Linked DNA regions of Caenorhabditis elegans. The protein of the gene in region 1 interacts with the protein of each later gene in a pairwise test. Each region holds a gene or a part of one and is shown on either strand. Other genes may lie near its edges.

What was found.
Region 2: the proteins of ddi-1 (region 1) and rad-23 interact in a two-hybrid assay, tested with the Caenorhabditis elegans proteins (2 studies listed by BioGRID).

The regions. Positions count from the first base shown.
Region 1 is NC_003282.8:6,520,929-6,525,132, reverse strand, and holds ddi-1 (Protein DDI1 homolog 1), read right to left. Parts: upstream 2,267-4,204; 5' UTR 2,260-2,266; coding exon 2,188-2,259; intron 2,141-2,187; coding exon 2,036-2,140; intron 1,990-2,035; coding exon 1,623-1,989; intron 1,573-1,622; coding exon 1,427-1,572; intron 1,376-1,426; coding exon 1,147-1,375; intron 1,093-1,146; coding exon 963-1,092; intron 909-962; coding exon 788-908; 3' UTR 562-787; downstream 1-561. Other genes in the region: C01G5.5 (NADP-dependent oxidoreductase domain-containing protein), read right to left, coding at 270-368, 422-493; gtnt-2 (Glycosyltransferase family 92 protein), read right to left, coding at 2,915-3,320, 3,366-3,472, 3,515-3,673, 3,731-4,019. UniProt on the Caenorhabditis elegans protein: Aspartic protease. Required for the cleavage and activation of transcription factors such as isoform a of the transcription factor skn-1, which in turn regulates the expression of proteasomal subunits such as rpt-3.
Region 2 is NC_003280.10:11,650,549-11,654,555, reverse strand, and holds rad-23 (UV excision repair protein RAD23), read left to right. Parts: upstream 1-1,826; 5' UTR 1,827-1,827; coding exon 1,828-1,899; intron 1,900-1,945; coding exon 1,946-2,029; intron 2,030-2,078; coding exon 2,079-2,882; intron 2,883-2,936; coding exon 2,937-2,948; 3' UTR 2,949-3,294; downstream 3,295-4,007. Other genes in the region: nep-1 (Neprilysin-1), read left to right, coding at 1-83; rpn-12 (26S proteasome non-ATPase regulatory subunit 8), read right to left, coding at 463-597, 649-1,044, 1,118-1,193, 1,240-1,295, 1,340-1,429; coa-7 (Cytochrome c oxidase assembly factor 7 homolog), read left to right, coding at 3,408-3,506, 3,553-3,966.

The DNA.
Region 1 (4,204 bases):
TTGATTTTCACACGAATGATAAAAATGGTTGTGTCTTTAATTAAGAAAAACTACGAAAATCAATTATAATTCATGGTGCAACGTGAAGAGAATGGAATTACAGTACTCTCTAAAGGCGCACACCTTTTCGCAATTAGCAAACATTTGCCGCGCCGAGACCGCGTAACGTATGTTTGGCACAAAACGCGAGTCTGGGTAATGATATATTTTCTATCAGATTCTTTTTTTCCTAAAAAAGCATGTTTGCGTTTTATTTCGTTAATTCATACTTTAAGAGCTAAACCCAAATCCTTTTCATTTTCATAGTACTTCGCTGTGTCGAAACTACGGTATCCAACTTTGAGTGCTTCGTCGACAGCTGCGAAAAGCTAAAAAAGGTAAAATAAAATAACGAAGTTCAAAAATAAAAAATATTCCAAACCTGATCACCTTTGGCTTCGTATGTCCCGAGAGCCAATTTCGGAATTTCTTGTCCGTTCTTCAGCTTGAACATTGCTGCTATTTACAAAATCTATTATACAACCTGAAAAACGCCTGTGGCAACAAAATGGACAGCGAAAATGAAAAAAAAATATATATTTGAGATATTTACTGGGAATTTCCCATGGGAACAACTCGTGGTAGTTTCCATGGAGAAAAAAGAAGTGATACGCACAGAAAGAGTGTATTTGCAGAAAAAAAAGAATTCCGTATAATATTTGCAGTGAAGAAAATACAAGTAAAGTGGCATTGAAATGTTTTTGATGAAAAGACAAGGAGATTTGAAGGATAAATTGTAGGGGCGGAACTATGTGGATCCATCTTCGAATTGCATTTCTTCTTCAGGAAGTGCCATAATCTCTTTCAGATGAGAATCAATTTCATTGGATTGAAGGAATGGAGTTGTTGTTCCGTTGCCAAACTCCAATCTCAAAAAGAAAAAAAAATTTAGATTTCGCGAGATTTTCGTGAGGGAAACATACCGTGAAGTTTTCAGATTAATACAACACCCATGCTTACGGAGCACATTAAGCCCGATGAGAAGATCCATCTCACGACGAGCCATTACCTCGAATGGGCATGAAAAGTGAGCATCTTCAACTTTCACATCGCCTGAAAACATTTATTAAAATGAATGTGAATCAATGTTGGAAACTTTTGACTCACATAAATGAATCTTTCCCTCGATTTTCTCTGTTCCACCAACTCCTCGGGCCATTGACTGGAACCGTCTATCGATTAATCCATTAAGACCACAACGTTCAGCACATGCCATTGACATGATCGATTTTTGAGCTCCAGAATCAATGAAAGCTTTGACTGGAACACCATTTATAGTCAAATTGATGTAGAGCATTGTGACGGCAATCATATCTTCTGGGTGGTGGGTCATTGACTGAAATTATAACAATTTGTATATATTTACAGGCTTCTATTGTAAACTTACGTGTAAATATTGTTCATCAATCAGTTCTTTATTTCTTTTCGCTTCCAAAAACATTTTTGCTTCTGCTGAATTTGGATTGTTTTTGATAATTTCTTCCTTGTGAACTTCTTCTTCGACGTAGGAACGGAACATTTGCTCGAATTCCTCTGAAAATTAGATAGGCGTCAGATAAAGATTTAAAAAATGCGCTACTCACTGTAAGTCATATCTTTTTTCGCCAAAAAGCGTTCAACAAGTTCCGGCAAACCGTAGCCCAATTTGTGTGGCTCGTTTTTCAAACGGAAGAACATATTTTCTGAGAGCGCTTTGAACGTCGCAGGAGAATCCAAAAGTTTCCGAGAGAACATCGATTTTTCACCTTCATCATCTTGTTCAACTCTCCGTGTTCTCTGAGCAGACTGTGCTGAGGAAGACGATTGTCCATTAAAAATACTCGACGCAGCTGAAGCGAATTGCGAGATGAGCCGGACTTGTGCTGGAACGATCGATCGGAGATCTCCAGACGGACATGGGAACGCAGTGGTATATATGTAAACCATTGAAATTTGAGTGACGCCAAGTTGCTGAACTTATAGTATGATTAAGATTTTCTTTAACAATTCGATTTACCTCTAATGTCACTGTTGGACCAAAATTCTTCGATTCATCCGAAATATCGTAGACAATTGCAGTATCTTTCCAAATCAGTATTGCGTCGTTATTCAGATCACCAATCTGCAAAAAAATTGAATAAAAGATTACATTTAAGTATTAAAACTAACAGTTGTGTTTGGTGTAACACTTTTCTTTTGGAATGGTCCATCGTTAACGGCTACGCTCACTTGGAAAGACATCTGAAAATTAGAAGAATAAATGAGAAATGAGATTGAAAAAGGAAGAATGAGAAAAAATCGAAGAACATTTGCGTATTTGTAAATGAAAACGCTGCATCTCTAGAGCATAAACGCATCTAATCGATGAAAAAATTAATTACACAAAACCGTTCTCTCGGGAAACTTTTTGTCCTTTCAAATAAAGATTCGAAAGTTAAAAGAATGGAACCTGAGAATTTGTGAAGTAGAACATTTTAACTTTAACTTTATAAGCTTTCTCGACAACAGCTGTTCAAAAAAGTGTAAAAACTTGTCTAAAACTCGAGAAATTCTCGTGATGAAGGACGAAAACGGTGCAAAACGATGACAAGGAACAGATATGAAAGTGCGCCCCGCTGAGAATTTTTGAATTAAAATTGTGAAATGACTGTAATTTTTGCTGGAAACTGCCAGTAAATGAGGAAATATGTGTTTTACGAAATAAATTATTATTGCTGTCGTTAAAAATTCACGATTTTGAAAAAAAAACTTAACATGTTTTTGCTTCAAAAATATTTTTCCGAGAAGCTACAGTATTCCGACGCAAAATGTTTGGTATAATATTTTTATTCTCTCAAAAATACATCAAAATACAGAAAACAAAACAAATCAAAAACATTTATTAACCCGTAATGTTCTAAAATTTCGCAATAATTTTTGCAACCCTTTCAATAATACGACTAGATAAACCAGGAGATAGTTGAAAATGGAAAAAGTTGCCAAAAGATTCGGCTTCTCTTAAAAAGAAACTCCATCCTTTAATCAATCGATAGTGTCGGACAACTGCAATTTCTGGCTCCACAAGTCGGACTCCATAGATCGGATTTCGGAACTTTTGAACTCCGTGCACACCCATCGAGTCAACATTTCGGGACCGAATAATCGATTTTGTAGTATGATTCTGCGGTGCCACGTGGCTGGTGTTATGCCAAGTAATCATTGGAAGATTCTCAATTTGAGGAGCACCAGAAGAAATTTCAGAATATCGAAGAGTCCATTGACAACGAAAACGTAGTTCAGAGATTTTATGATCATTGCAATTTCTGTCAATATAGAGAGTTGGATAAAAAAGTAAGCAAAATGAAAACCTGATATAATCTAAAAGAGTAGATTTCTCATCAATCATCATGATCCTTTCGTCCAAATCAACCGTTGCCACCCAGCTTGAGTACTTTTGAGTTCGGAATACACAGTCCTGAATTAATTTTATTTTTAAATTAAAATAATTGAAACAAACCTGTAACTGCATCTCATGTCTGCATCTATGACGATTTAGACATTTAGTTTCATTTCCCATTTGTATTACTTCAAGGTTTGAGGAATTTCTATAGAAATCCAAAACATTTTCAGTTTCCTTTGAGATGTTGAATGAGTAAATTAGAAAATGGTCAGCGCCCTGAAATGCACTTTATTTCTAAAAATAACTACTCTACCGTAACCCCAAGACACTAACCTGCAACTTATAATATTCAATAAATTCCATCAACATCAACACTTTCGGAGATTCTCCATAAAGTGGAGCAAGACATACAGTAAACTCTGATTTGTTCTTTGTTTCTTTTTCTTTGTAAATCTGCTTCATATTCCCTGGAACATCCTTTTTGTTTATAGTTACAGCAACGAACTCGGCTTTTACTGAGGAACTCTCCGAGCACTTTATTGTTAATTCGGGGAAAACTGCCACGGCTTTCTGATAGATTTCCTGCCTATTTTCATCGAATAAACGACAGTAGACACGTCGGCTGAAAATAATTATAGATATGGAATGCTCACTAAGCTTAATGGAGCTGCTGCTCAGGAGTAGTCACCCGATCTTTGACCAACGTTTGACCCCTAATATTTAAACATTGCAAAAAGTAGTGATTTCGGCTTACATTCAGACATTCAACTGAAATCTATTTTATTTGAAAGAGTACGTATAAATGTG
Region 2 (4,007 bases), on another chromosome or scaffold:
CAAATCAGCCAGAATTTGCCGAGGCTTTCAAATGTCCAGCTGGATCTCCGATGAATCCAACGAAACGCTGTGTTGTGTGGTAATCAGAAAATACGGGAAAGGAGTCAACCAAGTTGGCACGCTTTATCTATCTGTCTCTCAGAATCTACTAAATCTTTCGTCCTTTTTTTTTACTCATCTAGCTGTATATATTGTTGAAAACAATAGACACTCGAATTCACTGTATTTTGTCCCTCTATGTATTTTTTCTCGAATTTTTCCAACTTCTTTTTTTGGTATATCATATTGATAGATGTTCTTGTTCATTCCAGAAATCTTTGTGCAAATAAAATTTTCAGATGTAATTAAAACTTGCTAAAACAATGCATCGGAAAGTTCATTTTCTTACAGTACCGAGAAAAAGACGCGAATAAATTAAAATCAGTTTACAAATACAATGCTTGAGTTCTTGAAAGACACCGGTTAAACGATTTGTTCGAGTTGCTTGGCGTAGAAGAGGGTTTGAGTTGCGACTCGCACTGTATCCAAATTCACAGGCTTCTCCTGAGCCACCTCAATTTCGAAAACGTAACGCTCTCCATCCAAATGCCATTTTCTCTGTAAATAAATATATTTTTTAATACTTGTAGCTTTAAAAATCATTATTACCTCTTGTCCAAACTTTTTCATTTGTTCGTCATTGTCGAACAGAAGCATGACCGTGGCATCCTTCGCTGTCAGAACTTTGAAAGACTTCTCGATAGATGTTGCGATTTCGCGACGGATGGTGTCAAGCATAATACGAATGAAAATAGTGTAGAAGGGGCTTGGAATATTCTTCTCGGTGAGCACAACCTTGTTGTAGGCTCCTTCCATGAGACTCTGTTCAATACGAACTGGCGTAGAGATGTAAGCGTTTGATGTTTGCTCTTTCTGTGGAATTTGTTCGAGGAGCATGTGGAAGTCGGACAATCTGTTGGCAGCGAGCAGGAACATCAGATGGAGTCCAGTCATTAAATGCTTGTTTTCAGAATTTTCTGGCGCCATTGTATAGTAGGTATGCATCTGGAAAATTAAAAATAATTTACAGATCGTTAAAAATTACATAAATTTTCCAAATAATTATTTAAAGACTCACCTGATTGATGTAATCGTCGAACGTTTCGAAATCGTGCTTCAGAATTGCCAAGAGCACCGAAATCTCGTACAAATCTCTGAAAATTAATAATTTAAACTCATTACACCAAAGAAAAATCTTACTTTGAAGCCAATGCAGACTGTTTATCATTCAAATCGCTGGAGGCACTGAGAACCTTCTGAAAATTCAATTTATTTACAATTTGACAAACAATTAACTGACCGTCAACTCATTCAGAGCCTTCTCAACTGCGACAAGATCTTTTGGCTCCTTTGCCCACACAGCCAGAAGATTTTTATGGGCGGCAGACATTTTCTTAAATCCAATAATGTTTTAATTTGATAAAATCGAAGATAAAAGTTCACGATAAACACAAGTGAAGTTAAAAAATAAAAATAAAACATTCAAAAAAGAAATAAACGCATTCTCCGTAAATCGACACAATGACAATTCTGGCAGGTCTCGCCACGAAGAGTGTTCAAATCATGTGCGCCTTTAAGACGCCAAGCCATTTTCTCTTCTGTTTTTTACCACTTATTTTGTTCTTCAAAATGGTTTTTTTGTTTTGTTCTTTTATTAATAATCAAATGTTTGTTTATTTTATACATATATACTGCTTGTTTTGCATTAATATCAATCTGTTATCGATATTTATTTCTTTTTCTTTCAATACATGACTCTATTCGTAACATTTCACAATTTTTTGCAGGATGGTTTTGTCCGTTACATTCAGGACTCTCACACAAGTTAACTTCAATTTGGAATTGAATGAAGATCAGACGGTAAGATTAGAGTTAATGTTCGACTTGTATTTTATTTTTCTTTCAGATTGCGGAAGTAAAGGCTCTGGTCGCTTCGGAGAAAGGGGATGATTATGCTCCAGAACTTCAAAAATTAATCTACAACGGAAAGGTATTACAGTGAAGGCTCATAATATCTTTAAAGTATGTTTTTTTTTTAGATTCTCGACGATTCTGTGAAGGTCGGAGAAGTCGGATTCGATTCTTCGAAGTTCGTTGTTGTGATGCTCAGCAAAAGGAAAGTCACAGAAGTTGCACCTTCATCTACCGTTGCCACAGCTGCTGAGCCTGTTCCAGTAGCTGCCGCTCCTGCGTCAAACCCAGCCCCAGCTGCCGATGTTGCTCCTGAAGCTGCTGCTCCTGCTGAGGCGGAGGCGCTTACGGATGAGCAAGAAGAGAACGTTCTCGCAATCACTGGAATGGGCTATGACCGTGAACAAACTATCGCTGCTCTGCGCGCAGCATTCTGGAATCCAGACCGCGCAGTCGAGTTTCTTCTCAACGGACTTCCTGATGATGCTGCTGACCAAGAACCAGATTTGGGGCCCGAGCAAAACATCGATAACGTGGATGAGGATGGCAATGACGATCTTAACATGCTTGCAAACATGCCACAGCTTGCAGAAATTAGAGCTTTGATTCAACAAAATCCTGAAATGCTCGCCGCAGTCCTTCAGCAGTTGGCTGCTGTCAACCCAAGACTTGTTCAGACTATTCAGAACAACCAGCAAGCTTTCATGGATCTTTTGAATGGTGGAGCTCAAGGAGCCGGAGCCGCTGCAGGAAATGCGCCAGAAAGAAACACCCCACGTCGCCATGTTATCCATCTCAGTCCCGAAGAAGCTGCTGCTATTGAGAGAATCAAAGCCATAGTTGTTAATGCACCAGAAGCTGTGGTTGTGGAGGCTTATTTCGCATGTGACAAAAACGAGGAAGCCGCTATCAACTTTATTTTCAGCAACCTCGTGAGTTTATTTCCATACGTAGATAATTAGAAGTTTAATTTTTAATTATTTCAGGATGAGGAATAATTATCTTACCCATGCCAATAACTTCTGATCACCGTCACTGGAAATTGCAACAGAAATTAATTTATTCTCTCTCCCCCATTTCCGTAAAGCTTATATTCTTGCTCCTATCAGCCTAATTTTTTTATTAACACTTCTTCCAAGAATGTGTATTCATCGCCTTCTCGATTGCCCTTTGTCTATATATTTAAGATAATAACACATTCAGTTCCATGTGCTGATTGTCACCCGCTACTGGTAGGCACTTCGTTGAAATTCTCGTCGCGTTCAGCGAATTTTGTGTGACATAATTTCGGTATTGTAATTCCCTTTTGTCATCCAACATTTTCAAATGAAAGTCAAATGTTTTAATGATTCTTCGTTTCGATTTATCAAACTTTACCCAATGAGTCATCACGATTTCGTACTCCAATATCGGTCGTTCATTTCTTCTGAATATGCGCTAATTCACTTTACTTGAAGATGTCTGGAAAAATAAGCGAAGAAGCTATGCAGGAACAGGCCGAAAGGGCGGAATATGTGAAAAATATTGGGATTGAGTACAGATTTGGATGCTACGAAGTGAGAAATTTGAATTTTCAATCTTTCTTTGAAGTTAAATTTTCAGGAAAAAAGGCCAGAATCCTGTCAATTGCTCGGCGAATACATGGAAGCTCTGCAACAAAATTTTCAAGCGGCCGTAGCGATTTTCAAGAAGAACTGTGACGAGAACAGTTATCCAAAGTCATGTTTCAAGTACGGAATGTACATGTTAGCCGGAAAAGTTGGAGACGATGCAAGTCTGTCAAAAATGATTCGACCGATGAAAATCGCATGTGATGCGAATATTCCACAAGGATGTCGATATTTATCACTTGTTCATTGGAATGGAGAAAAAGATCGGAAAGCTGATTCAGAAAAGGCTGAACGATACATGAGAAGAGCCTGTGAACTGGAAGATGGTGAAGCTTGCTGGTTGTTGAGTACCTGGTATATGGGAAATAAGGAGAAATTTAAGACGAATGCTGCAGGAGAGGCTAAGGTTTTTTTTTGTTTTTCAAAATAATGCGAAAAAGGATCGCC